4 linked regions of the Elephas maximus indicus genome follow. The protein of the gene in region 1 purifies or fractionates together with the protein of each later gene. This does not show direct contact. Links are inferred from orthologs where the notes say so. Each region holds a gene or a part of one and is shown on either strand. Other genes may lie near its edges. The genes, in order: USP15, SMAD2, GLUL and TUT1.

Region 1 (7,693 bases):
TCATATATACAACGCAGATAATAATACTCCTTAGAGTTGCTCTGAGGATTAATACTTGTATTTAGGATGATGCTTGACACTCAATAAACAAACCAAAACAAACTAATGTCTTTGATCCAGTTGTGACCCATAGGGACGCCATGTGCATCAGAGTAGAACTGCACTCTATAGGGTTTTAATGGTTGATTTTTTGCCTCTGGGTCGACTTGAACCTCCAACTTTTTAGTTGGTAGCGGAGTGCATTAACCATTTTCACCACCCAGGGACTCCAAGATGGGTATTATTATCCCAAAGTCTATGATTCAACTAAGAGTTAAGTGCTTTGCAGCCAGAGGCTGAAATGAGGTTTGAACTCAGATTCCTGTGATTCCAAAGAAGTCTTTCCAAACCATGTTGCTTCTCTTGAAAAATTCTTTGTTCTCATTCAGAGGTTGGGTAGAAAAGGGGAAAATTGTGGCCCTTTGAAGGTACCCATGGTTAGAGAAACTCTATTTTTTCAGTCTGTCAGAAGCCAAATAATATACGAAATAGCATTGATGGGAAGCTGTTATCAGACTCTCAAATCAAGGATGATGTAATTGTGAAACAGGATTATTACACAGAAAGTAAGCAATCAATGCTGATATAAACAAACCATGTCAGTATACACTCCTTTCACTTGGAATTGTTCAGCACTGGTTGCTGGCATAGCAACATCCATCTTTACTGCATTCCAACCAGATGAGTTTTCACTGGCTAATACTTTTCAGAAAGACTGCCAGGTCCTCCTTCCTAGTCTGTCTTAGTCTGTAAGCTCAGCTGAAACCTGTCCTCCATGGGTGACCCTGCTGGTATCCAAATACCGGTGGCATAGTTTCCAGCATCACAGCAACACACAAGCCCCCACAGTACGACAAGCTGACAGACACGTGGGGGGGGGGGGGTGGCGACTATACACATGGACCTCGCCAGATGGAGCATACAGAAATCAAATTGACTACATCTGTGGAAAGAGACAATGGAAAAGCTCAATATCATCAGTCAGAACAAGGCAAGGGGCCACTGTGGAACAGACCATCAATTGCTCATATGCAAGTTCAAGCTGAAACTGAAGAAAATCGGAGCAAGTCCACGAGAGCCAAAGTATGACCTTGGGTATATCCCACCTGAATTTAGAGACCATCTGAAGAATAGATTTGACGCGTTGAACACTGGTGACCGAAGACCAGATGAGTTGTGGAATGACATCATACATGAAGAAAGCAAGAGGTCATTGAAAAGACAGGAAAGAAAGAAAAGACCAAGAGGGATGTCGGAGGAGACTCTGAAACTTGCTTTGAAATGTCGAACAGCTAAAGCAAAAGGAAGACTTGATGAAGTAAAAGAACTGAACAGAAGATATCAAAGGGCAGCTCGAGAAGACAAAGTAAAATATTATAATGACATGTGCAAAGAGCTGGAGATGGAAAACCAAAAGGGAAGGACACGCTTGGTGTTTCTCAAGCTGAAAGAACTGAAGAAAAAATGCAGGACTTGAGTTGCAATAGTGAAGGATTCTATGGGGAAAATATTAAACAACCCAGGAAGCATCAAAAGAAGATGGAAGGAAGACACAGAGTCATTATACCAAAAAGAATTAGTCAATGTTCAACCATTTCAAGAGGTAGCATATGATCAGGAATCAATGGTACTGAAGGAAGAAGTACAAGCTGCTCTGAAGGCATTGGTGAAAAACAAGGCTCCAGGAATTGATGGAGTATCAATTGAGATGTTTCAACAAACAGATGCAGCACTGGAGGTACTCACTCATCCATGCCAAGAAATGTGGAAGAGAGCTTCCTGGCCAACTGACTGGAAAAGATCTATATTTATGCCTATTCCCAAGAAAGGTGATCCAACTGAATGTGGAAATTATAGAACAATATCATTAATAACATATGGAAGCAAAATTTTGCTGAAGATCACTCAAAAACAGCTGCAGCAGTATATAGATAGGGAACTGCCAGAAATTCAGGTGGGTTTCAGAAGAGAATGTGGAACCAGGGATATCATTGCTGATGTCATATGGATCCTGGCTGAAAGCAGAGAATACCAGAAGGATGTTTACCTGTGTTTTATTGACTATGCAAAGGCATTCGACTGTGTGGATCATAACAAATTATGGATAACATTGGGAAGAATGGGAATTCCAGAACACTTAATTGTGCTCATGAGGAATCTTTACATAGATCAAGAGGTAGTTGTTCAGACAGAACAAGGGGATACTGATTGGTTTAAAATCAGGAAAGGTGTGCATCAGGGTTGTATTCTTTCACCATACCTATTCAACCTGTATGCTGAGCAAATAATCCTAGAAGCTGGACTATATGAAGAAGAACGGGGCATCAGGATTGGAGGAAGACTCATTAACAACCTGCGTTATGCAGATGACACAACCTTGCTTGCTGAAAGTGAAGAAGACTTGAAGTACTTGCTAATGAAGATCAAAGACCACAGCCTTCAGTATGAATTGTACCTCAACATAAAGAAAACAAAACTCCTCACAACTGGACCAATGAGCAACATCATGATAAACGGAGAAAAGATTGAAATTGCAAGGATTTCATTTTACTTGGATCCACAATCAACAGCCATGGAAGCAGCAGTCAAGACATCAAAAGATGCATTGCATTGGGTAAATCTGCTACAAAGGACCTCTTTAAAGTATTGAAGAGTAAAGATGTCACCCTGAAGACTAAGGTGCACCTGACCCAAGCCACGGTATTTTCAATCACATCATACACATGTGAAAGCTGGATAATGAATAAGGAAGACAGAAGAAGAATTGATGGTTTTGAATTGTGGTGTTGGTGAAGAGTATTGAATATACCATGGACTGCCAAAAGAACGAACAAATCTGTCTTAGAAGAAGTACAACCAGAATGCTCCTTAGAAGCAAGGATGGCAAGACTGCATCTTACGTACTTTGGACATGTTGTCAGGCGGGATCAGTCTCTGGAGAAGGACATCATGCTTGGCAAAGTACAGGGTCAGTGGAAAAGAGGAAGACCCTCAACAAGGTGGATGGATACAGTGGCTCCAACAATGGGCTCAAGCATAATGATTGTGGGGATGGCGCAGGACCAGGCAGTGTTTCATTCTGTCGTGCACAGGGTCGCGATGAGTCGGAACTGACTCGACGGCACCTAACGACACCACCACCACCACCAGATGAGTTAGAAAACCAAAAACAAAGCCATTACCCTCCAGTGGATTCCTACTCATAGTGACCTTACAGTGGTTAAAACCAAAACCAAACCCATTACCATGGAGTTGATTCCAACTCATAGTGACCCTACAGGACAGAGTAGAACTGTCCCGTAGAGTTTCCAAGGAGTGCCTTGGAACTGCCAACCTTTTGGTTAGCAGCCCTAGGTCTTAACCACTATGGCTACCAGGGTTTCCACATAGTGGTTAGAGTAGGCATTAAAAATGGGAAAACAAGAGAGCATAGGGATGTTTTCCCATCTTTTAGACTTTTCACATCATTTTGCGTTGTCTTAACACCAAGTCTCTGGAACCTTTACTCTTTGAAATACTTAAGCAGTTTTGACAAAATTAATTAATTAAATAAATATTTAGATGGCTTTTATATGTTAGGAAACACTGTGCTAGCCACTAGGCATACAGAGGTAAAAAAGATGGACTCAGTTCCAACTCTTGTGGCGTTCCCATTTTAGTTCAGGCTTTCAATTACAAGAGGTAGTGAGTATGCTACATTTAAAAGCACATGGGCTTTGGACCCTAGGTTATAAACTTGTCTCTCCACTTACTAGCTGTGTGACCTTAGGTAAGACCCTTGATTTTTTGAGACTCAATTTCCTCATTTTTAGCATAATTGTAGCTTCAACTAATACTCAACTGCAATTACCATCCAGTTACATTTCAGGTGTACGTACCATGGGAAGATAATGGGAAAGGACTTTCCTTCCTTTTAGTACCTGGTATTTTTTTTATTACTCAATACATATTTTATTACTCAATACATATTTTACGCCCTGTTCACCGAGGAACTGGGACACGCTTTTCACTGCACTTTAGCTGTCTGGGTGTGCCCGGGGAGCCGTCACAAAGAGCCTATAAAAGGTCCCCACCTACACCAGCAGTAAGAGGGCTCTAGGAAGTCCACGATGAGCACTGCGTCCAAGCGTTCGGTTTCGGATTGTACTTTGGGCCAACACTCACCGAGCCTGGGTACCGCGACTCGCAATGAAAAGACAAGAGTCACACACTCGCTAAAATTTTCTGCCATATCTTAACCGTCCCCACGCCCCTCGTCCCCACCCCACCCTCAACAGTGAGCGAATGCGCAAATAAGGGTTTTCAGGCGTCTGTGGGAAAGAGGGAGGGGAAGGCAGAAGTCAAGCACAGACCGGGCCGTGGCATCGCTCAAGAGAGTGAGCGCCCGGCTCCCCACCGAGGAAAACCGGGGTCCGGCCCGGAGGAGGCCGCGGCCGGCACGAGATGCTGGAGAGGCGGGGGCCGATGGGGGGGAGCAGACCACGGTCACGCAACCAGTCCGCCCCGGGGACTTCCTCTTGTCCCGGGTGCATCGCTCCCACCCCCGGCCCTTTTGGTTTCGACCTGGCGGCTGGGAGGGGCCGCAGGACGCCATTCCCACAATGCTCTGGGGCGTGCCGCCGCCGCCGTCGCTGCCGCCGCCTCCGCTACCGCTAGTGGAAGAAGATGGCGGAAGGTGGAGCGGCGGATTTGGACACCCAGCGGTCTGACATCGCGACGCTACTCAAAACCTCGCTCCGGAAAGGGGACACTTGGTGAGAGAAGGAGGTTGAGGTGCCCGCGGTTTCCCGGGGATGGTGGGTAACTGGGCGGGAACTGCGGACTGGTGTCTTTCGCTAGTGACAGGTGCGGGTAGGTCCGGCGGCTGCCGCCCTGAGCAGCAGGATTTTGGCCGCTGCCGAAATTTGGGGGCAGAGGTTGGACTGGAGGTGAGGGTTAGGGTTCGTGGCCTGTTGGGGCGTGCTGAGAGATTTGTGGGGATCAGAGCGGCGGCTCATGCAGTTCTCTTCGTCCTCCTTCCTCCCATAGTGCCGCTCCCACCTCAGGCCTTTCCGAACCATAGGTTACAGTTGTTGGTTTTGAGTTCTTCAGTATGTTTGACAGGTCTGGGTCCCGCGGTTTGTTACGATCCCATCCGCTTTACTTCTCCAGTCATTTCCTTTCCGGGCATTGTCGGCATCCAAGTTGCCTCTTATTCTGATTCTCGCATTCTTCCGGGAGGCAGGCTGCAGGATGTTTGCGGTCCGTACTATACAGGTGGCATGTGTCAGGGCGCCAGTTAAGAGAAAGAAACCGTAGTTTGCAGTTCCTTGTCAAAAAGAGGGAGAGAAGTAGGGAACCTTAGGCTTTTGAGAGATACCACGTGGTCTTGTGCTTTAGTGGAGGCTTGATAAAAGCCGGCACCGTTTTTCTTGAAGTACAGCCCTTCTCTCCTGTTTCAGGGATAACATAAAACATAGGCCTGCAAAAAGTAGGTAAGTCTGTTTGCCGCTTAAGTAACTTGCTAGTTTGGAAACTTATAAAATACCAGAGGATATACACTTAAAATACTGAATGAAGTATGTGGAGATTTTAATTTTGATACTTGTCGGCCTTATCAGTTGATTTCCAGAATTAAATATGTGAATATGTGACATGAAGAGAAAGTACTCAGTTTATTAGGAGGGAAGGTGAAATCAAGTAGGCCTATTGTATGATTCGTGTGTAGTATTTAAAAATATTCCTGTATCACTTTACTGGAACAGCTAAGGAATATAATGTAGTTAGTGTAGCTTTTTATTATAAGAAAAAATTATTTCCACTTCCCACTGTCTCTGTAACTATGGTATGTAATTTACAAAGTGTTTTTTCAGATACTGTAATATAGCTTAATGGAAAGAGCATAGAATTTAGACCTGAGTTATGTCACAGTTGCAGTAATTAACTTGCAGTATAACTTTGGGGAAAGGTAATTTAAATTATTGCATTTCAGTATCTTCATCTATGAAATGGACAATAGTTTTTTTATAAGGGTTTTATCCTGATTCAATTAAATACTTAAAATAGATTTGATACTTAAGAAAAGTGTTAAATTTTAGTTGCCTTTTTATCTCCACCTTTTACTCCTAACAAAATGCTGTGATATTAGGGTTGGGACTTGAATTTAAATACTTTGATCTAAGTCCTGGTACTTTTTTCCTACTTTGTAGGCTGCGTACTGTGTTTATATGATAAAAATACCTGTGGGTGTCAACATATACTCGTTGCATTACAGCACAAAATATGACCTTTGAATAAATAATTGTTATTATTCACATTGGAGCATTCCTAACATGTTTATTTCTTTGGAGAAATTTGGCTACATATCCTAGGATAACCTGTATTTACTTTGGCCTGTGGGTTTTTAAAGATGAAATCAATCCTTGCTCTATTTGTTAAAGAACTTCTAAGAATTCTTAATTTATCTAGCCCATTACCCTGTGTAAAAACGTAAATGTGTATTTCCTTAAAATAGAAATATGTAAATTAAATTTTGGATTATTGTTTCTCTTTAGTCTTGTTATACTTTTGGTATACTGAGTAATCATTGGTATTGTTGGCCCTATAGGATGATAGGAGCTGTATCTATACTGTGGGCATTAAACTTTTTAAATCATGGTATTTTTCAAATAAATTTTTAATTCTGGTATTTTTCAAATAAATAATTTTTGCTTTTTGACAAAGTTATTGTAAATCATTTTAAAGAGTAAAATACAGGGGGTCCATAAGTTTGAGTCATTTGAATGTTTTCATTTTAAAGAAAACCGAAGCCCAGATATTTTAGGGAACAGCAGAAGGTACAAACTTTTATCTTCGCATTAATTTTTCTTCTCATTTAAAGGGAGGAAAATGAACTTGTATGAGCAAGGTGGTGCTGAGGAGTTGGAGAAATCTGTTTCGTTTATATGCGAGCCAGTTTGTTTTCCAAATTAGCCGATGAAACCTGTCTTGCTTCAAAATAGTGTAGTGTAAAAGTCTGATTGAGAGTTTGAAGGAGAATAGCTTGAGTAAAAATCCGACAGTGTATTTGTGAGCTCAGCACTGGTAAAGATACCTACAAATTTAGTTGTAACCTTTTAAGCTTTTTTTAACCTTAGTGTTAGTCTTTTCTGGGTGATTGGGTAAATCCTATCTGTTTTTATGTAGCTGAAATGGGCCATTTGTAAATGGAACATTGCCTTGGTGTATGAATATCACCATCTTTGAAAGATTGGGCTACTGAGAAAAAAATGGTAGATTTACCAGAAGTTTATTCTCAAAAGCTTAATTCAAATGTTTGAAGTTACAGTCAAATGAATTTTTAAAAATGTATTTCACAAGTTAGGCTGTGAGTGCTTTGTAGATAAGGGCTGTCTCATAGTAGTCTGGTAATTCTAACGCCTAGGCAGGTAATAAGATGTGTTTGGTTCTGGATGAATGCTAGAGTTTCTGTTTATTTGTAAACAATGAAAGATTTTTATCTGCAAACTGCTTACTTGTCTAGATGCAAAAATAAATAAGTCTGAAATGAAGAACAAACTTTATGATACATGTGGTACTAGACTTTAAAAAGTAAGTCATAGTTGATTAACAAGAGTAATACCTCTTAAAAGGTGAAGTAGAAAAGTGACACTGGTCTGCATCAGAAGGAGTAAAG
Region 2 (7,121 bases), on another chromosome or scaffold:
TGGGCTGGGGTAGAAAGGAAGGGCTTTACAGATTTACTACAGAAGAGATGGAAGATGTGTCATTCATTTTGAACAGCAACACATGAATATAGTTTTAAAAAATCAAACTACAGAAAAATTAACAATGAAATACCCATGACTCCCAGGCTCTCTTTCTCAAAGCAGCCACCATTACCATTTTTCTTTTGTGTCTGTCTAGTGGATGGCAAAAAAAAAGAAAAAAGTGGATTTAACTACTTTTAAATGGATTCTGAATTGATTTTGATTGATTTTTCAGTGTCACGCATCATGAAGGGTTAAACTTGGGGTCCATCCATATATAAATTAGACTTACTCAGTGTAACTTATACAATAGGAACCTACTGATAGATCTTGAAGTGTCCTAGTGGATTTCCACGCTGATTGTTGCCACAGCAATCCCTGCCCCATCTGCCTTCAATTTCTGTCTTGACCCACTTTGGTTTAGATACTTTTCTAGCAGAGGGACAGTAGGCATGCTCCCATTTGTAAGCCTGTTGGGGACTGCATTGGTAGCCAGATTGCCCCTCCTCCCCTTTCCTCAATCCTACATATCTTGGAAGACTACCTGAGTGGAAGAGTTAGAGACCCAAAGTCCAACACTTTGGAGAGAGGCTTTAACTTAGGCCAAGCATATTACCCACTGAATGAGTGTACCCTCCAGACTGCCCAGCTTCCATACTGAGAGCAGATTCTTCTGGAATCCCGGTCAGCTCTGTTTTTGTTACCACACCTGCTCACCCAGGTGGGCACTCAAATCCACACCCTGGTCACATAGGAGAATGTTTGTGTGATGCAGGACAGCTTTTTATAGGCTGTTTCTTATTAAAACTGTTGATCTGTGCTAGCAGGATGAAGGACCAAAAACCAGAAACAGCCTTTATACTTCTAAGTTGTGTAGCTGGTATTAGTTGTCATTGGACCACCTCCGTTTGACCAAAGGAGCCCTGGTGATCAGTGGTTAAGAGCCTGGCTGCTAACCAAAAGGTTGGCAGTTCAAATCCACTAGCAGCTCCTTGGAAACCCTATGGGGCAGTTCTACTCTGTTCTGTAGGGTCTCTATAAGTCAGAATCAACTAATGGCAACGGGTTTGGGTTTGCCCATGACCATGTTCCCTGGTGGCTCTGGGAAGTGGGAACACAAAGCCAGGAGGTGGAACAGCTCCACCACTTGTCTTCCTGGGTCTCCTTCACACGCTATTTTATAAAAAATGGGTGAGTAAGGCTGCCTCTAAACCAACCATGAAGAAGCCACCCTGAAAGTAAACTTTTTGACGGAACCCCTCCTGCTGAGTAGGCTCATATTTGCATAATGCATACAGGAACAGAAAAGAAATGTTGATTATCGACTTTCTTTTAACTTCAAAGCACTATGCTACTCATTTGCATATTTATTATTCTACTTAATAATCACAAAACTACATTTAAATAGGTATCATTGCAAGTTAGTTCCACTTGCCAAAGATCACGGATGTGGAAGAGCTGCATTCAAAACTACGATTTGCCTAACTCCAGGGTTCATACCCTTCATCACCTTTCAATCAGAAAAGTACTTCCATGCTTTGGGAGAGAGATGGAGATTTTGAGAAGAACTCTGGAAAACCTGTAAGACTCAGACAGAAGGCCAAATATTTCTCAAAGTCCAGCTGAGATTTCCTCCACTTCTGGAAACAGTACACTTTGAGGACTCTGAAATGCTCATTTGGTACTTCTTAATTCGGTATTGCTAGTGATGCTGTCCCACTTGAGTCACTGTGATGGTTAAGATTGTGTGTCAACTTGGCTGGGCCATGGTTCTCAGTGTTTATATGTGATCACCCCCATGATGGGATCTGCTGTGAGTAGCCAATTGGTTGAAAGGGAGTTTCTTCAGGCTTGTGGCCTGTATCTGAATATAAGCGGATGCTCTGGCTTTTGCCTGCTCTGGATCCCACAGCTGGCTCCCGTTTGCCTGACCTCCGATTCTTGGGACTTGAGCTAGCAGCTTACCTGCCAATCCTGGGATTCATGGATCTTCACAACTTGTGAGCAAGAGCCCTGCTCTCCGTCCTGCCGATGTTAGGTTCGCCAGCCCCTGCGGCTACGTGAGTCAGGAGAAGCCTCTATCTTAATTCATGGACTTGGGACATTCCAGCCTCTACAATCTTGTGAGATGTTTCCTTGATATAAATCTCTCTCTGTATGTATTCATATGCTTTACTGGTTTTGCTTCCCTAGAAAACCCAGCCTAAGACAGTCCCCAATTACATTAATGAAGTAGTACATGAGAGAGTGTTGGGCAGGGAGCCAAGAAAACTGTGTCCTAATCTTGTCTCTAAGGAGGCCTGGTGGCACAAACGGTTAGTGGTTGGCTGCTAACTGAAAGGTTAGCGGTTCAAATCTGCTGAATGGTTCTGCTGGAGAAAAGACCTGGATATCTGCTCCAGTAAAGATTACAGCCTAGGAAATCCTTTGGGGAAGTTCTACTCTGTCCCATAGGATCACTATGAGTTGCAACTGACTCCATGGCACCCAAAACAACAGTAGTCTTGTCCTTGCCACAAACTACCTGTGTGAAACCTGAGATTCTTTCCAACTTCAGTTCTCTGGTGCCCCCTGCCTAACGTAAACCAAAAAAACCAAACCCTTTACAGTCGATTCCAACTCATAGGCACCCTATAAGACAGAGTAGAACTGCCCCCATAGGGTTTCCAAGGAGCAGCTGGTGGATTCGAACTGCACCCAAGTTGTCAACCTAACATAGTCGGTGCTTAAAATTTTTTTATGATTAAAAACCCATTTTGGAGTCGATTCTAACACATAGTGACCCCGTAGGACAGAGCAGAACTTCCCCGTTGGGTTTCCAAGGCTGTAGATCTACAGAAAAGTAGACTGCCACATCTTTCTCCCAAGGAGCTGCTGGTGGGTTTGAACTGCTCAGCTTTAAGTTAGCAGGCAAATTCTTAACCAGTGCACTACCAGGGCTCCTCCTTGATGTGATTACCACTACACCGCCAGGGTTCCCTTGAAGTGATTAGTTAGGTTTAATATTCTCGTCAGCATAGGTTTGGGTGTCCCTACGGTAAACGCGGCACGGTTATCCGAGGGCGGTTGCACCCCAGCCTTGGGCAGTCAGCAGCTTAGGGCTCTGCTGCCTTCCCTGGCGCAGATGTGTCAAGTTCAGGCCTGGGAACATACTGGTTGCAAGAAGGCATGCCAAAACTGTGGAGAAATGAAAAACGGAAAATAACCCAATAATTATTAGGCATATTGCCAGGCGCTTATCTTTTTAAACTTCACAACGATGGTTCAGAAATGCATTATTAGCACCACTGTTACTGAAACTGGAAACCAAGATGCAGGTTACACCAAAATACCTGGTATCCCTTTCCCTCACCCTAAATACACAGAGAAAGTACATCCCTCTGGCTCTCGGCTTATTTACATCTCGGACCCCGCCCCCGCCTAGCACCACGAGGGGCCACGCCCACTCATTTGCATACGGGCGCGCCCAGTTGCGGGCGGGTACCGGGCTCTTTCTGTCCCTTGCCCGTCCTATTCTCGGGGCAGCTAGGAGCCTCCCCCAGGCATGAGCACGTGCTCACCCGGCTTAACGACGGAAAGTGGACGAGGCAGCAGCCCCCAAATCGGCCCCACCCAATGGCGCTGGCAGGGACCAAGGAAGGGGCCCAGGAAGCGGCAACGAGAGCCGGTGGTCGCTGGGGATTATTTTCCCAGCGCGGCAGGTTACGTGCCTTCCACTCTTCCCTCCCTTTCCCAGAGTCGCTTCTGGGAGGGTGCCGGAATTGAAATCAGCCGAGACCGCTCGCGTCCAGCCCCTCCTCGGCCTCTGCCGCCAGCCGGCCGCGCCTCGCCTCACGCTCTACGGGGGAGGCGGGACCAATCAGCGCGCGACGTCTCCCTTCCGATTCAAGGCTCCGGACGCTAGGCTCACACCCCGGCCAGCCCGCGCGCTGATTGGCTGCGAGCGCCGCCGGTCCAGCCGGGTGGGCGGGGCGGCCGAAGGGAAAGGGAGGCGGGGAGGTAGTGGCCCGCGACTCTCGGCGCCCCGCTCGCCCCCAGCCCTTCCCTTGGCGCTCGGCCTCCTTCCTTCCCTCCTCCGCTCCCTTCATCTGCTGTGCGCGCGGAGCGCTCTGCTCGGCCGGCGTTCCTCGCGCCCTAACAGGCGGGTGGGGGCGCCAATCAGCGGGCGGCAGGGTGCCAGCCCCGGGGCTGCGCCGGCGAATCGGCGGGGCCCGCGGTGGGAGGCGGGTCTAGCCGCGCGGCCGCGGCGGCGGAGGAGCAGCTCGCCAGCCAGCAGCCAGCGAGCGCCGAGCGGGCCGCCGGGAGGTGGGTGCGCTGCGCCGCTGCGGCCGCGGTGTGAGGGCGGCGGGCGGAAGCGGAGGTGGCCGGTGGGCGCGGCGGGGGAGGGCTTGGCGTCCGGGGCCGGGAGGGGAGGTCCGGGCGCGCGCGCGCGAGGGGAGGAGGGGCGGCGGCGGGACGCGCGCGTCCCCACCCCCTCCTTCTCCGGCGGGCGGTGGCGGCCGGGCCCGCGACCCTCCCCTTGCCCGGCTGCGCGCCGGGAACTGAGCTGGGGGGCGGGGTGGGGCGGGAAGCCGGGCGGCTGGGAGTGTTTTCAGTTCCGCCTCCAATCGACCATTCCCCTCTTCCCCTCCCAGCCCCCTCCATCCCATTCGGAAGAGGAAAGAACAAAAGGTCCCGGACCCCCGGATCTGACGGGGCGGGACCTGGAGCCCCGGTCCAGGTAAAGCCCCCGTGCCCGGCGGCCCTGGGGGTAGGGGTGTGTTTGTGTTTGGCTTGGGTCGGTAAGATTCGCCGTGTCACATGGCCACGGGCCGTTGGGGGTTGGGGTGTGGCGGGGTTGGGGGCAGTGGGTGCGCCGGGCTTTCGGATGGACGAGGATCGAAGGGGCCAGGGGAAGGCCGAAAGGGAAGGGGCCAAACGTGCCAGCGCCGCGTCCTGGAGCTGCGGGCGAGCCTGGTCCGGGGCGCGGGCCGATGTGTCTCTTCTCCTCCGCTGGTAACACACTTGCTAGTTTGTGGTTCTGATTTTTAAAGTCGAAGGGACAGAGCTCTTATTTCAGGAGTTGTTGGAAAGCCGTGTTACGAGTGTGAGATACTTTCTTTGCTTCCAGTTTTTTTGGTCTTGCAACCTTTGTTAACCATAATAGTCTCCGGTTCTGAATTGCTTGTGTGTGCTCACATAAACACGCACACGGCTGCTACTCTGTCGAGATCATTCTTTACTCGGGAAAGTTGCTTCGTGAGTGGAGGCGATTAGTTTTTATCACCCGCCTTGAGAAAGCACGGTAACTTATTTCGTGTATTTAAAACTTGGTTTTCAAAATTGCAACTTTAATGATTTTTTTCTCTTTTGGTGGACTACTGGCCTTGGGTAGTGTACTTTTGTCTGCTGCTTACTTACTCTCAGGTAGTTATGCTTTCCTTTTGATCCCAAACAAAAGAAAAACAATACCTAGGTTGGTTTTGTTATTCCTCCCTCTTGACCCTTTAGAAGCCAAATACTGTTGGTTTGCTGTCAGCAAAACCTTTGTTGAAAAGAATTGCTAGGCAAAACGAATTTGGAAGTAGTATTATCCGTCAAAGTCATGTCTTGTTTGCTACAGTTTGGAGTATATCAGTTTTGGTGTCTTGAACTACATACAGTAAAATGATTATAAGTAAGTGATCACACAAACTTATCTCAGCTTTTCAAAAATGGTCTCTGAAAATTAAGTTAATTTCCAGAATTCTGAATGAGTCTGTATTTCCTTTTCATTTTCTCTCTTCTAATTTCATACGAATTGAACCTGTGCCACTGATAGTAAAGATGTTTTCCTCTAGCCTAATAAGATAATAAATTTGCTGTTATTATGCTGAAAATACATTTGTTCTAGTTTTGACCTCTTTTAACAAAAAGATTCTAACATGGAAGTATAACTCAAATAGTTAGCAAAGCATTTATATTAAATTCAGAAAGTAATACTGATTGTATTTTTAGAGTTTCTCAGTTTTTGTCATAAAGTGTGGTAGATAGTAAATAAAATGTCTTTGGGCATTTCTAAAGTGAGTGCCCACTTTCTGTTAAAATCTGCTATTGAGTTTGAAGGAGTTCATTGGCCATTTTTATTTAGTGTTGGAAACATCTGTTTCTGTATTTTAGTAAAATGTTGCTCTTAGAAGCTTGGTTTTTATACTTTGTAGTACACCTTCTGAAGCAGTGATTTCTCATTGTAGATGTTTAACAAAAGTTTGGTTTTTCAAGGATGTAACTGTGTATCTAGTCATAAGTGGTCAATTTCCTACACAAACTATAAGGTTCATGAAATACTAGTCTTGTAAGAAACTGTGCAGGGTAATTTCCTGTTGTTTGTGGCTTGTCAGCCTTGGTAATATGTTTTAACTCTTAAGTAGGAATTTTGGGGATGATTTTGTGTATTTCCAGCCTTCAACTCAGAAGTTCTCCTTAACAGGAACAAAGGTTGTTTCTACTTCAGGTTGGGGGGGGGTAGGGGGTGGGAGGCTGCCCTTTTCATTGTCATATTGTAAACGTTAGGATTTTGTTGCAGTAATCTCATTACTTCTCACTGGGGGACATAATGTGCACTAGAAACACTCAGTTTAGCTGCATAAACTGATGAATGTTTACATTTTGAAAATATTTTCACTTTTGGCTTTTAGGCCTAAAAGCTTGCTTTCTTCTTGTTGGGTTTTGATTCTGTTGGTTTTGTATTTTAAGACTCCAGAAGCCTCGTTTTGTAGCAGCTTTTTTGTACAGGTGTTTTTGTAATGCATATAAAAGCTGTATTAAGTGCAGTCTGGCAGATGGAAGTTTATTCATATTCTTGGGACAAGAGTCATTTTTAGGGGGTTGAGAGGGGCGTGTCTTTTAGCTTCCTCCTATTTTGATGGGAGTGGAAGAGCCATTTTTAGGCCTTCAGTTTCTGTAAAGGAAAGTGTTTCCCACTAAGTATTGTAAGGGTGGTCAGAAAACTTCAAAGGTAAAGATTTCGGAAACAGTTCAGGAGACGTTATGCATTTATCCAACAGGTAACTTTTATTTATTGAACCAGTAGCATTTATTCATTTATTCAGTGAATAACA
Region 3 (7,617 bases), on another chromosome or scaffold:
CATTAGAGACAAGATTTGGGGTAGGCGTCGAACAGAGCGAAACCTTCAGTCATAACACGAGTTTTGGGAAATGGAGTTTTCCCTGTATTTCAATGATTTCAACAAGTGTTCAACAAACCTTACATTGGGCCGCAGAGAAATGGCTGAGGCTTAAACTTCTAGCTTCCTCTCCTTTCATCAAATAATCAGAAAGGATATAAAAAATAAATTCTCTGAGCCTACAGTTAGGTACTGAATTGAAGTATGACCTGGTCTTTTCTTCTTTTATTGTGCAGAATAAATCTGGAAACTTGGCCACCTGCAGCTTCTCCATAAAATATGGTCTAAGAGTAATGCTATCAACTGCTAGAGTTGTCTTTTTCTCTCTTTTGTTTTTGCTTTAAGATTTTACCGTAATCTATCCTTTTGGAAAGAATTGGTGTTGGTTTATTCAAAAACAGACTAGTTTATAATTCTGGGCTGGGTTTCCAGGATGTTCCTCAGTCCTGATTCTTAGCCGTGTCTCTTTAGCCCAATTTAAGGCTTTGCTTGAACATTCATCGAAATCATCCAAATATAGAGAAAACTTCCTATCTCCAAACTGCACACTATGGCCAAAGGTTTGGGTTGGCTTGAGCCCTACTCATATCTTGTGAGTGTAAGGCACCCGCACAGGCTCTAGGAAAGCACTGTCTTGTCACCAGGTTATAGGGTTCAGACCTGTGAATGAGAATGTCATTGTCGTTAGTTGCCTTTGCGTCGATTCTGACTCGTGGTGACCCGTTTGCAGAGTAGAACTGCTCCATAGGATTTTCAAGGCTGTGACCTTTCCGAAGTAGATCACCAGGCTTGTCTTCTGAGGCGCCTCTGGGTGGGTTCGAACTGCCAACATTTTTGCTAGTAGTCGAATGCTTAACTGTTTACACCACCCAGGGACTCCTTGAGAGTGAGTCTAGGTCCTTTAAAGACCTAGAGAAAGACGCTGAGAGGACAACTCACAGGTAAAGCCCACCCAAGAGAAGGCCTTTATTTCAGGCAGCAGAACAACACTGCAGAAATGTTTTCCATCTCCAAACATTTCTGCAGATTTGGAGCAAAAGTTTTACCTGCAGTGCTGGTCTCCCACTCCACCCACCCTGTGGACACAGCTACTCTTCTCTAAGACAGAAAAACATGACTTCAAAGTGCACGCATTAGAACCCCACCAGCTTTGAAACTGTACATACCAAGAGATAGAAAGGTTCATGAGTTCAAGCATTCTAAGGCTCTTTTTATGGAGGGGTGGAAAGTGGGGGTGGGTGGCAATTTAGGGAAGAAAGGGAGTGAGAACAAAGGGCAGCAGACACAGCAAAGTCAAACTGGATGAAACAGGCTGTTCCACTTTTAACTTCTCTAAATGTACAGTCTGGGTCTCTGGAGGCAAACCGGTCGGTTAAAGGACTTCTTCTCATGCATTCTTAGGCTTCCCTGGTCACTCCTTGGACTCACTGGGGCCCTAATTCGATGGGCTTAAGAAAGTGTGGGGCTGACCAAGGAGGACAAGTCCTCTGGTTCACTCCGGAAAGAGTCAGTGGTCGGGTATTATGTTCCTATCCCTCACAAAGCACGCCCCTTGTCACATGAACGGATCAAAGCAAATCCATTTCCATTCTTGGAAAAGCAGCTCAAAGCACTGGTTCTCTTGATGGTGCCGCTGTCACTTCTGTGTAGTCAACAAACATCACTTACTGGACACTGTTGGGGGAGAAAAAGATGAATAAGCTACTCCAGGAGGTTAAAATACTTAGCAAGGAAAGTAGGCACTTGCATCATAAAACGCGACACTATAAACTAAAAAAAACTGCATTTGCTTCTTCATATTCCACCTTCCATTAATGCTTGCCATAAACCACGGCCTTCCAGTGCAGTGGCTGGTGGTAAGGAGTGCTGTGGAAGTCGGTGGTTTATGGCTTGGCAGTTTGGTATCTTTGTAAATAAAAACATCACCTCCCCCTCCATCCAACCATTTAAACTCAAGACTTCACAGAAAGAAATGGAATGAAGATAGCTCACTCTGTTCCCAGGTGTGAGCCCACTTTCATAAAACTAATGGTGGTATATTTCACTGAGTTAGAAAGTTGCATTTAATGGGTCTCAGTGAACGGCTGGTATATGGAAGGAAACAATCCAATCTTTTCAAATTATCTTGGCCAATAATAATTAAGAATATTTTCGTAAATATTTACTACGTCCCAGGTACTATCCTAATCTCTTTTACATGTGTTATCACAATTAATCTTCACGATAAAGTAAAAAACCGGTTCCCATTGAGTCAACTCTGATTCATGGCAATCCCATGTGTGTCAGAGTAGAACTGTGCTCCACAGGGTCTTCAATGGCGGATTTTTTGGAAGTAGATTGCCAGGCCTTTCTTCCAAGACACCTCCGTGTGGAGGAACCTCCAACCTTTGGGTTAGCAATGGAGCACATTAACTGTTTGCACCACCCAGGGGCTCCACAATAATAATTTTATAGGCAAGGAAACTGAGGTTTAGTGTGGCTAAGTAACTCAGTCAACACAAAGCTAGTAAGAACTAAAGCCCAGATTTGAATCTAGGTTTGTCTGACCCAAAGCCCAGCCTTGAACTACCACGTTATAATGCTTCAACATGCAACACTTAAACTTAATTTGGAATCCCTTAGATTTGTGAGGTGCCTTACTGTGTTTTTTTTACTGTGTCCAGAATGCCATCAGTTTGAAACATTCCAAAAGCCCCTGTTTGATATGAATGCTGTATTTATCAGTGAAAAGCATTACAGTGTTAGACACACTTTTAAAGGAAAGAGATGTTGATCAAAGAAGCCAAGTTATGTGTGTGGTTACAGGCAATATTTCTTTTCCATATTTGTGGTACAAAAAATAACCAGAAGAAACTTCTTTCCTTCCTCTCCCGAAGGTACTGGGAGCACGGACTCTTGGCCTTCAAACAGAAAAATTGCAAAGTCTTAAAGGCTGGAGCTTGCAACAAACCAAAAAACCAAACCCAGTGCCATCCAGTCGATTCTGACTGAGCTCGCAAAAGATGCAATAAAGGTTAGAAACCCTGGTGGCCTGGTGGTTAAGTGCTATGGCTACTAGCCCAAGGGTCAGCAGTTCAGATCTGCCAGGCACTCCTTGGAAGCTCTATGGGGCATGTCTACTCTGTCCTATAGGGTCACTATGAGTTGCAATCGACTTGACGGCAACGGGTTTGGTTTTTATTATTATTTTTTAATCATCAGGTAGACTTTGGGCAATAAAAATAGAACGGCCAAGTAACAGGACTGGTAGCAAGAACAGTATTTTAAAAATAGGATTACTGTGCATCTGTTGACAAGCATCCATTTTCAAGGCTGCACTCACATGTTTTCTCAACCATCACCGCAAGGCTGAGAGGAGCAAAAGCCAATTATTCCCATTTTATAGATTTAAAAGAAGGCCTAAGTTACTTGCAAAGCAAAAACAGGGAGAATTTAAGGAATTCTAAACTTTTGAGGAACCCTGGGCTACCGCGGGGCCATGAGAACACCTCACTTTCATCTGCTCTTGGGGAACAGTTTGCATAAAAGCACAATTTCAAATCTGGCCAGCAGCCCTAAAGGTCCCTTCAAACTGCTTTGTTTTGCATATGAAGAAACGGGCCCAAGGAGGCTGAGTAACTCGATTAAGGACTGACAGAGACCTTCTCAGACAGGTCTCCTGACTGTTTCTACCGCCCGCCGAAATCTTCTCAATGGAATTATATAAACACCGCAAGATGATTAAACATGTGAAATAGCAGAGTTCTGTCCACTTCCCCAAAACCCCTGAGAGAACTGGGGAGAGGGCTCTTCGTGGACGCTGGAATCCCGGGCCTCCCATCAGCAACCCCCTCTGGAGCCTTCTCGAGCCCCGCACTCCGACGCAAACAACCACGAGCGGGCCGGTGGGGCGGGGGGCTGGTCACTAACACCAAAAGCCAATATGTTTCCGTGGTTCAGAATTTCCACCTCTGGAGTCCGCGGTATGACCTCGTAAAAGATGAAATTCTCCTTGCAAAAAAACAAAACTATTCAACCCGAAGGCAGCAGCGGCGGCTGCCCGGGGAGGTTTTCTAGGAGGCTTGGAACTCGGGGCTGGGGGGCTGCAGGGCCAGACCCAGGTCGGTGCTCTGGGCTGGGCGCGGCGGCCCGGGGTTGTTTTGCTCAAGCCTGCTGCAGGAAGGGTCCTTCCTCGGCGGGAACCAGCGCCCTCCGCGCGCAGCCAGCCGGCCAGCCCTTCTTCCCTCCCCTCCTCCCCAAACCCTCCCCTCCTCCCCAAACCCTCCCCTCCTCCCCAAACCCTCCCCTCCTCCCCAAACCCTCCCCTCCTCCCCAAACCCTCCCCTCCTCCCCAAACCCTCCCCTCCTCCCCAAACCCTCCCCTCCTCCCCAAACCCTCCCCCTCCCCCACGTCCCTTTCTCTTTCTTTCCCGGCTCGCGCTCCCCCACCCGGCGGCGCGCCCGCACCGCTCCTCGCCCAATGGCCGCTGTGCCCGGGCGCACATCAGCTGATCAGCCCGGGCTCCCGGCCGCTGGAAGCCAATCAGGGCGCCGGGGGCGGCCCCTGGCCGACGATAAAGGGTGTCCGGCTCCGGGCCACCCTTCAGAGCCGAGGATGGGAGCAGAGTCGAGCGTCTGACCTGTCTACCTGGCCTCCTCTCCTCACCTCGCTCTCGCGGCCTACTCTCCCTCCAGCCGGCTCGCCGCCCAGGTAAGCGCCTGGCTGCCCTCGGGGCGCGGAAAGCAAGCGTGCCTTTTCCCCGGCCTCCTCCCCGCCGCGGCCCCGCGGCCTTTTCTCTTTGGCCCCTTCCCTGCCTCCAGCCCCCTCCTCTGCTTTCGGCCCCCCGGGGGTGTCGAAGACGCGCGCGTGCTTCCGCCGTCGGTAATTCCGGGCGGACCTGGGCTGCCGTTTGTGGGGCGCGCCCTTATCAGGGTTTTGAGAAGGGTTGGGGGGGGTTGTTTTGATCTTCCTTCTGCTGCAGTGGCCCACAGGCAGGCCCTGGAGGCCTCGGCGGGCAGAGCCGTGGAGCCCCTCGCCTGGGCGGAGCCCTGGGCTCGGGGTGTTTAGGTTGTGGAGGGAGAGGCTGTGTTCCGCTGCGGGAGCGCACGCCGGGGCTCCTGGTAGGCGCGGGCGCCTCGCTCTCTTCCTCCGCGTGGTGGCGGGTTTTGGAGGTCGTGGTGGTGTTGATTATCTTGTAGACGCCAACGTTGAAGGGAATAACCATGAGTGTTTTGTTTGCGTGGCTGCTTCCCGCCCCGGAGACCGGGGAAAATTCTGGGCCTTCCACTTATGACCGAACAATGGGGAGCCCGGCACCGCGGCGTTACCCGGCGGGTGCGGCTAACGGAGAGGCCGGGCCGAGGCGGCAGCCGCGCACCGCCCCTCCCTCCGTTCATCCCTCCTGTCGCCGCCCCGCTTCCCCCAGCCTCTGCCCTCAGAGGAGAATGGCCCCCTTGGTGAGGCCCTGAGATCCAGACCCGGGGGGGCGGGGCGCCGACGTTCGTGACATTTCAGGGCGTAGGGGCTCGTCTAAAAGTGGATTCCAACTCCCCCGGGGGCAGGAAGCGGGGCCGCTCCCCTAGCCGCAAAGCCACAAAGTACGATGCGGACGACACAGAGTCGCGGTCCTCGGGGTCGCCCTCCAACTGCTTTGGGTTCGTCGCCTATTCGGTGAAGTCCGGAGAGAAATCGCGATTCAAGATTAAGGCCTTAACCCACCAGCCTCAGTATTCCAGCATCCCCCGACCCGAGGGCTCTCGGTCTGCATCTCCGTCTCCGTCCCCCTCTCCCAAAAAGATCCGGTGTCTGGACCAGCGAGAGCCGGAGATCAAGGAGGAGCGTGAACAGAAATCAAAAAAGAGGAGGGCTAAAATAGAGGGAGCCCCCGGAAATATTACTGACCTCCATTGGCTGGGGTGAGTGAGAGGGCAGAGAGAGAGGACTCCGGAGCCGGTGGCAGCTGCAGAAACAGCTAAAAGCTTCAGAGTCCCATTTTTTCCCCCACGTAAAACTTGGCACCGTGAAGGCACCAGTTGCTAAAGTAGACTAGGCTGCTGGCCTCCGCTTCTGATCACCAGAGAGGGCAGGAGACGCTTCACCTAGACTTAAGAGAAAATGTGGCTGGATTTTGGAGGTGAAACAAACGGGTTGGGGAGGAAAGCTGAGAGTGGAAAGCTTTTCTTGGAAACAGAAAGGATCAGGATCGTTCCTGCTGGTCATTCAGGCAGGGATGGGGGAGCGACGTGATTTGACAGACCAAGTCTTATAGATGGAATAGGCAAAGGAGGTTCTTTTCCCCAAGGGAGAAGGATGAGGCTGTTGGAAGAAGCAGTTATGTTTTCAGCTGGGCAAACATGGACCGTTGCCCATAGAAACTTTGCCACTGTACTTCAGAAAGTTACCCAAGTCATTGCAAGAGAAAGAACAATGTGTTCCCTTTCCAGCCACCCTGGGCCTTTGGTGGGGGAGGGAGGAGAAAACGTTTCCTCTTGTTTTGTGGCCTCTTCTTTCTGGTTTTTGTTCTTTTCAGAAGTTTTGTAGTGGTGGCTAGTGTGCCTCAGAGCTTTTGAAATCCCAGAGTTTTTTGGTTTAGAAATGGGAATTCCTATTTGAGAAGTTGTCTAGTGGGATCTCAAGAATATTGTCATTCTCAAACTTAAATATGAATGAGCCCATGTTCTGAAGTGACCGACAACTTTGCATCAGACCAATGGAAACTGTGGTAGTGTTCACCTTGGAATCCGAATTGGATTGGTAGCTGTTTTTACATCTTGGTGATTGTAATAACTGTCATCCTTTTATTTCATTTTTGTAGGAAGCCTCAGCCTTCTAAATCTTCTGGGTAGCCTGGTTTTTCATCCTTAAATCTAAATGGTTGGGTCTGCCCCCTACCCTTCAAAGGGAGGGAGAATCTCCAGAAAGGGGTTTTTATTAAGAACACAGCTAGAATGAAAGGCAAAGGGAAGATTCAGCCAGAAACCATAGCAGCCAAGTCTTTCTGTGTCTGGATTTTACTTTTATTGGGAGAAGAGAACAACTTTTAAAACATTTCTGAACCTTAATAGTTTCTTGTTTTTGCCCCTAGTTTCATAATATAAGAAGCTTTCTAAACAATTCTACCTCAGCTACACTGAGGGATAGGGGTTAGTCCTCACAAGTCTAGATTCTAGCTTGGGGAGGGAAGCCTTGGATTTGAAGAAGCTGCAGAACTTCAACTTCTGAGCCCAAGGATGCAGAGAGGGGTCAAGGGTTACCACCAATGGCTTGGTCTTTTCTCCAGTAAGTATCTGCTTTAATCTCTTCAAAAGGTGGTACTCAGATTTTATAGCCTTATAAAGAGAGTTTTATCTGATATAAAACTTTAATACCCCAGAAAGCACATTGGATAAATACACCTATGGGTATGTGACTTCAAAGGCAGTGGCCGCCACTCTCACCCTGACTTCTTGAGGGTAGTGTTTTCCTTTGATTTAACTGTCTCTCTTGAACCACCGCAAGGATTCGGTTTGCAGTTGGTGTTCTGCGCTCTGAACATTGCTGTCTTTTCTCTCCAGAACACCTTCCACCATGGCCACCTCAGCAAGTTCCCACTTGAACAA
Region 4 (7,123 bases), on another chromosome or scaffold:
GAGGAGGGCTGCCCGACGACCTTATGCTCCTATCAATGCCAATGCCATCAAGGCAGAGTGTAAGGGCAGTGGAAGGCCTTGTGGCGGGTTTCCCTAGATGTTAATGACGGTAGGGATGGTAGGACACAGATTTGACATGGCTCCTGGCCCCAGCAGAGGCCTGAATTGTGAAGCCCCTTCAGAAGCTTTAATCTTATTTCTCCAGGCTCCATCCGACTTCCTAAGGCTGCCAAGACTCCACTGAAGATTCACCCTCTGGCGCGGCTGCCCTTGGCAACTATCGTCAAAGATTTGGGTATGGGATGGGGAACCAGACTGTGGATATAGGCTGGGCATAGGACAGGTGACCCAATTAGGGTGGAGGTAGGCTCCTCCTACTCCCTTTACTGTCAAGAACCTTCCTTCTCCCTGCTTTTTTTTTCCCCACTGAGTTCTTAAAAAGTTAGTCTAACTGTGTTTTTGTATGTTAATGATTCTTTTCATAAGCTACCCAGTATTACCATACTGATTTGGTCAGATCACAGTCCTGTATGATTTCTGAAATATTGGAAATAGCTTACCAGACCCTTCCCGATTGCTACTTTTGGAGATGCCCAAGGAAACTATGCACCCAGGAGAAAGAGATGGAGTTGAGAAAGGGAAACTGTAGGGAAGAGAAAGTGTCAAAGTTCTCTAAGTTTTATTATTTTTTTCCTGGCAGTGGCCCAAGCACCTTTGAAACCAAAAACACCTCGGGGCACCAAGACACCTATCAATAGAAACCAGCTGACCCAGAACCGAGGACTGGGGGGCATTATGGTCAAACGGGCCTATGAGACTGTGAGTTGACAGGCTGGGGTGGGCCAAAGCTGAGTTGGGCATGCTTTTATTCTGGTAGGAGTCTGAGCAGGTCCCCTCCCTCATTGTGTTGCCCCACCCTTTTCCAGATGGCAGGGGTAGGGGTCCCCTTCTCTGCCAATGGAAGGCCTCTGGCCTCAGGGATTCGCTCAAGCTCACAGCCAGCAGCCAAGCGTCAGAAACTAAACCCAGCTGATGCCCCCAATCCTGTGGTGTTTGTGGCCACAAAAGATACCAGGTAGGGAGCCCACCATGGGAGGGGCTGAGAAGTTGATAACCCAGGTTGGTGGATATGAGAAATAGGAACATCTAAGCAAGAGCAAGCAGCTCCAGGAAGACTGGTGGTGCAGGGAGGGGCAGTGCTGGGAAGGCAGAACTGCCATGTGGAGTTTCACCTTGGGGGTCTTAGCCTTCTTTCTTCCCCTCTCTTGGCCAGGGCCCTGCGGAAGGCTCTGACCCACTTGGAAATGCGACGAGCTGCCCGAAGACCCAACTTACCCCTGAAGGTGAAGCCATCGCTGATTGCAGTGCGGCCCCCAGTTCCTCTGCCTGCACCCTCACATCCTGCCAGCACCAATGAGCCCATTGTCCTGGAGGACTGAGCATCTGTGGGGAAGGGAGGTGGGCTGAGAGGTTGAGGGTAGGTGCTTGGGCACCCAATCCTCCTTTTTTTCTAGTATCAAAGGGAGTGAGGCCTGTGAAGAGGGAGCAAATGTGTGTCCCTGGAGGGGGTGGGCGCCCCCTGGTGGCACCACAGCTGGGCTTGTCCCCTCCCCATGCTTCTCTGTGCCTGGTGATGGAGGACTGACTGCAGGGACTTGGCCTATGTGGGAACCTGGCCTGTTTTGTCGAGTAGGACCCACAAATTGTCTTGGACAGTTTTGGGGGGAGGGTTTTTTAATTTTTTAAAAATTTTGCCTCCCTTTGTGAAAGGGAAGGGGGAGGGGAAGAGTAAACAGATGTCAGGTGGTTGTACCTGATTGGGGGAGGGGGGTGTGCACTGCCATGTCTTTTTATTTTTTTCCTAATTGGGGGTTCTCTTCCTGTCCGGTGTCCGGACTTTCCTAATTGGAGTTTGAGGCCCCTAAGCTGGCATCAACCCCAGCCCATGCTCGCTCTTTCTTCCCCCCTCCCCCTCTGCCTTTTGTACGCCAACTCTCAGAAATAAAGATCTTTTGTCCATTTTTTTAACCCTAGATTCTGTAATTGGTTCTTATAGTAACAAATAAAAAGCTGTTTTCTTCAGCTCCTCCCGGCTCAGCTGTTCTCTGCCATGGATATGCGTGGGGGAAGGGAGGGGAGGTCTTCAAGAGGGAAAATAATAAAGGACAAAGGATTATAAAGCAAGTACAGATGGGGCTTGCCCTGGAAACAGCTTCTTTATGAAATATGGACTGAGGCTGCCTGCTGTAGCCAGCCTCGTGGGCCCAAATTCTACCCCCCACCCCAGGATCCCCACAGCCCCCAGTGGTGCTAGAGACCAAGCACCATCCTGGCCAGATTCAGTCAAAGCAGTTGGGATGAACTGCCTCTGGATGGCTGGTGGCTTCCCGAGGAGCGGGGTATGACTGCCGCTTCCTCTATTTCCCCAACTCTTATTTCCCTCTGGAATCCCTGGGTGATGCAGATAGTACCGAAAGGTTGATGGTTTGAGTTTACCCAGAGGCACCTTGGAAAAAAGTTGATCTACTCCAAAATCAGCCATTGAAAACGTGAGAGATCACAGTTCTCCCCTGACACACATGGGGTTACCATGAGTCAGCATCGATTCTACAGAAACTGGTTATTTCCCTGTCCCTTTTTCTTAGGAAATTCTGGGAGTTGCTAGAGGCCAGAGGCCGGGGCACGATGTAGGCCACCTTAGCAGGTACCGCAGGATCTTACCACCCAGCTCCAGGCTGTACTCAGCCTGCAGCATCAGGATTCTCAGAGCCTCAGCAACTGCCTTGATATTGGGGCCCGATGCAGTGCTATTCTCTGCCTATTTAGGCTTGGGAGATAGAACAGATACCTGAACAGGGCCCTATAGGACGGATACCTCAGGAGAGAAGACAGGAAGGTCAGCTTACTGTGTGCTCCTTGGGCCCCTCCTTTAGAGATGGGGGACAACCTCGGCAAAGTGACTTGCTCAAGGTCACAGCCCTTGGTATGTCTGCCTCAGGTCCACTTTGTATAAGCGAAACCACAGCATAAACTGTTTAAAATTACGATCCCCTCCATCTCGGTCTGGCCCCTGCCCCCAGGGTCTCCCTAACTCTTTTACTCACTTCCGGTGAAGTGAGCCCACACCAGCAGCCGTGTCTGGGGAAGAACAGAACACTGTACCAGCTTGAGGGCGGCAGCAGCACTTCCCTCCTCCAGTGTCCTCATTCAGCTGCCACCACGGCCGGTGTCTTCAGCGCTGCCTTGAAGGGGGCCAGTGACTGGCGCCTCGTGAGTACACTCCACGCAGCCCACTAACGCCGAAGGCAAGTGGATGCAGGGATGAGTCTGGCTCACCCAGGCCGCGTGATCTGGCTGCGGTTCCACGGAGTCGGCAAGGTAGCCGGCGGAGGACGGGGCAGAGCTTCCCAACCAAGGCTAGGCTGCACAGAGCCGTAGCGAGGGGGGCAGAGAGGGGCATTTGCCGCCGGGCGCAAGTACAAAGGGGCGTCGGATGAGGCCGGCCGGCCGGCCGGAGAATCACCCCCCTCCCCAGCCGGCGGGCTGGGGCGCTCGTGACCCTCGTTTTGGGGAAGGCCCAGGAGGGAGAGGGTAACAGTCGTGAGGCGGTTGGGAGTCCAGGGGCAGCCCCAGGCTTCGTGGGGCAAAGAGTGGAGACTGTCCATCCTCCGCCTTTACTCCCTGGGTAAGTGAAGGGTTACGGGCGCAGCCGCGCGGATGTCTACCGTGCTTGAAAGGGGCGCTCAGCCGGCCCGCGACCACCCAGCACCGAGGCGGCCGGCTGTCTGGAAAATGGCCCGAAACGCAAGACGGCGCTTGCCTTTGTGGCTACTGTGTTGAATATTCATGATCTTTGAACCAATCATCGCATGATTATCTCAGAGCACACCAATCGGCTCACCGCATGCAGATAAGCATCGTAGATGGGCGGCTTTTCTTATATCGGTGGAGACTGCACCCAGGCTAGAAACGGAACCCTGAGTGGAAAGCGATGGGTTTCCGGAGGGGGTGTGCCTGCACGAGTGCCGCGACTACGTCACTTCCCATCCGAGCGGCGGAAATTGCTTCCGAGCGCGTTGCTATTTGGAAGACAGGGTTCTGGCGAAGGCAGAAGTGCTTGTTTTTTTTGTCGGTATTGGGAAGTGACGATGGCGGCGGTGGATTCGGATGTCGAATCGCTGCCGCGTGGGGGTTTCCGCTGCTGCCTCTGCCGCATTACTACAGCGAACCGTAAGAGTTGGCTAGCGAGGGGGTGGATGCGGGCTCTCATCTTTTGACCCTAGCGAAAGTTAGGGTTAAAGGTCATAGTTCCTGTCAAGTCGGTTGGTGGGATCACCCAGTTCCGTTTTCGTAGGCCGCCGCCGGTCCGAAGGGATTGAAGAGGAGAAAGTCCCATCACTTTATAGATCTCCTTCCCCGTATCCAAGACCTCGACGACGAAAGTCCCGTTATTTTATTCCCTCTTCAGCCGTCATCTATTGGACATCTGCCCTGTCCCTGCACTCTGCTGGACCCTAGGGTGAAAGAAGGGGGTTCAGAGATGAAGGAGCTGACATCCAGAGAGGGAGACACTTTCAATACACTATAGATGTGTTTGGAGAGCTGTGGGATTAGAGAAGGCAGTAATTAAGAGTTAGGCAAGTCTTACAGAGAAGTGACCCAAAAGCAGGGATATGTGAAATAGCATGACAGGCTGCGGTGATGCAGCGTAGGATACCAGTGAGGGAGGGACAGAGAGTGAGTTTGGAAAAGTGACAGATCGTAGTAAGACAATGCAAGGGGCTCAGTGAACCCTCCGATTCTGATTGTGAACTCGTCAATCATGATCTTCCCTAAATGGGGTCTTCTCCCTTCCTCTGTGAATGGCAGTCTCACCTGTCCAGTAGGGCAAGCCAGAAACCTAGGAGTCATTAAGTCTTCCCTGGCCCCATATCTACATTGGTGACACCAAGCAGCAGACTCAAATATAATAAAAATAACGATAGAGGCTAACTTTTCCACATTTACCATGTATCAGACTCTCTGATAAGTGCTGTATCTGAATAGCACCTATGTAGCAAGTACTATTATTACCTTCATCTTATACCTGAGGAAACTGAGGCAGAGAGGTTTAGTAACTTGCTCAAGGTCTCACATAGCTTGACAGAGCAGGGATTTGGATTTGGGTAAGTGACTTAAAAGCCTGCACTTATAATAATCACTGTACCATACCCAGAGATGGTCCATGGGGAATAGTCTAGGGTCCTGAGTTACTTAGTCCTTCCATATATAACCTGAATAAGTCATCTCTTCATGTCTTCACAATTGGCAGGTGTTGCTGCACCTAGTACTTACAGATGGCTTAAGATATATTTGTAGTGTAGCCTTCTCCGGGGAACCACTTGGAGAATATATAGGGACAAAGGACAAAGGAGGAAGGTAGAAGAAGAAAGGAGACAGGACTTTGTTTATTCAAAGGTCACACTTAGTATAACTTTGAAGGATCAGTAGAATTTAGGTGTGCAAAGAGCAAAGGCAGGGCAGGTACAGTGGAGGGTGATTTGGGTGTTTTTGTCTCATGCTTGTCTTTGCAGGACCCAGCCTAGATGCCCACTTGGGAGGCCGAAAGCACCGGCACCTGGTGGAACTACGAGCTGCTCGAAAGGCCCAGGGACTTCGAAGTGTGTTTGTCAGTGGCTTTCCCCGGGATGTGGATTCTACTCAACTGTCTGAGTACTTTGAGGCATTTGGGCCTGTTGCCAGTGTTGTCATGGATAAGGACAAGGTACAATGAATGACTCTGGGGGTGTAAAGAATGAGTCGAGTATGCCACATACCAAAAGAGACATGAGAGAGAAACCAGCAGCCTATTTTGGCTGGTTCCTAATGTGGCCTGTCCTTGGTGGGACACCACAGTACCTAAGCTAGTCCTGTTTTGTGAGCCCTCCCCTGGATTTTATCAGTTCACGAGGAGACTTGTTAGATTTAGTCAATCTGTTATTCACCAAATATTTGTTGACTGCTAGCTTTGTACTAGGCACTGTGCTTAGAGCTGTGTTCTGAGTGATGAAGTAGGTGTTGTTTCTGCTTGCACAGAGCTTACAGTCTAGAGAAGAAAGTAGACAATTAAATGACTACAGTGAAGTGGGTGCTTTAAGAACACACCTTTGGGGGACTTTCAAACCCCAAAGCAACTGGTTGATAAACCAGATGGCAGTTTATTAATTTACCCTGAGGGGTCCTGAGGTTATCTGGTTAGAAGACCCTGTCCTAACTTTTGTCAGTGTCCTTGATAAAGTTTACTGTCACAGTGCTGTGTTCTTTGGCCATATTGTAGTTCTGAGGCTGTACTCTGTTAAGTAGACATGACTTAGGTGATGCCCAAGTGTGGTACAGTGAATTGCTTAATATGGCTCTTCCAGCTGTAGTCTTTGTGATTCTCACACATGATTGGTTAGGACTATGCAAATAATGTGCTTGTGGCCCACCAAGAGGATTAGGCAGCGTGCTGCTAATGCAGATAAGATGTATGGAACTTGTGATGGTTAAGGTTATGTGTCATCTTGGCCGGGCCATGATTTTCAGTTGTTTGGCAGTTATGTAAAGATTTAATCATCCTCCATTTTGTGGCCTAATGTAATTGTCCTCCATTTTGTAATCTGATGTAATTATTCCCAGTTTTGTGATGTGTTGTAAATCCTAGCCTCTATGCCTGTGATTATGGTTCCATTTGGGAGTGAGTTTTCCATTAAGTTAATGAGGCAGGATTAGGGTGGGATGTACCTTGAGTCACCCCTTTACTAGAAGGTGTGACTCAAGTCACCACCTTTTCCCCAGTCACCACACTTATTCAAGTCACACCGTTGCACTGCTTTGCTCAAGTAAGAAGAGTTTCCTTGATGCTGTGGTCCGCATCCAATATGTATGTGAGTGCTCCGGCAAAGCTCTCTCTCTTGCTCTGAATTCTGCATCTGGCTCATCATCTGACCTCCAGTTCTTGGGACCTGAGCCAGCAGCCTGTCTTCTGACCTGATTGCCGGCTCCTGCAGCCTTGCGAGCCAGCAGCCTGTTATCTGACCTGCCGATTTGGGTGTCTCAGCCCTGCAACCACGTGAGTCAGGAGAAACCTCCAGCCTGACGCCTG

What was found.
Region 2: the proteins of USP15 (region 1) and SMAD2 purify together in Homo sapiens (affinity purification with western blotting; 4 studies listed by BioGRID). This does not show direct contact. The link is inferred for Elephas maximus indicus from reciprocal best matches to the Homo sapiens genes USP15 and SMAD2.
Region 3: the proteins of USP15 (region 1) and GLUL purify together in Homo sapiens (affinity purification with mass spectrometry; 3 studies listed by BioGRID, with this or other methods). This does not show direct contact. The link is inferred for Elephas maximus indicus from reciprocal best matches to the Homo sapiens genes USP15 and GLUL.
Region 4: the proteins of USP15 (region 1) and TUT1 purify together in Homo sapiens (affinity purification with mass spectrometry; 4 studies listed by BioGRID and IntAct, with this or other methods). This does not show direct contact. The link is inferred for Elephas maximus indicus from reciprocal best matches to the Homo sapiens genes USP15 and TUT1.

Annotation. Positions count from the first base shown.
Region 1 is NC_064822.1:122,512,002-122,519,694, forward strand, and holds the start of USP15 (ubiquitin carboxyl-terminal hydrolase 15), read left to right. Parts: upstream 1-4,647; 5' UTR 4,648-4,704; coding exon 4,705-4,793; intron 4,794-7,693. UniProt on the Homo sapiens protein: Hydrolase that removes conjugated ubiquitin from target proteins and regulates various pathways such as the TGF-beta receptor signaling, NF-kappa-B and RNF41/NRDP1-PRKN pathways.
Region 2 is NC_064829.1:56,507,066-56,514,186, reverse strand, and holds the start of SMAD2 (mothers against decapentaplegic homolog 2), read left to right. Parts: upstream 1-4,028; 5' UTR 4,029-4,347; intron 4,348-4,676; exon of another isoform or gene 4,677-4,762; intron 4,763-7,121. UniProt on the Homo sapiens protein: Receptor-regulated SMAD (R-SMAD) that is an intracellular signal transducer and transcriptional modulator activated by TGF-beta (transforming growth factor) and activin type 1 receptor kinases.
Region 3 is NC_064842.1:45,558,876-45,566,492, reverse strand, and holds the start of GLUL (glutamine synthetase), read left to right. Parts: upstream 1-4,523; 5' UTR 4,524-4,729; intron 4,730-7,572; 5' UTR 7,573-7,585; coding exon 7,586-7,617. UniProt on the Homo sapiens protein: Glutamine synthetase that catalyzes the ATP-dependent conversion of glutamate and ammonia to glutamine.
Region 4 is NC_064825.1:125,773,967-125,781,089, reverse strand, and holds the start of TUT1 (speckle targeted PIP5K1A-regulated poly(A) polymerase), read left to right. Parts: upstream 1-4,059; 5' UTR 4,060-4,148; coding exon 4,149-4,230; intron 4,231-5,573; coding exon 5,574-5,764; intron 5,765-7,123. Other genes in the region: metastasis-associated protein MTA2, read left to right, coding at 1-59, 206-295, 701-819, 927-1,075, 1,274-1,439. UniProt on the Homo sapiens protein: Poly(A) polymerase that creates the 3'-poly(A) tail of specific pre-mRNAs. Localizes to nuclear speckles together with PIP5K1A and mediates polyadenylation of a select set of mRNAs, such as HMOX1.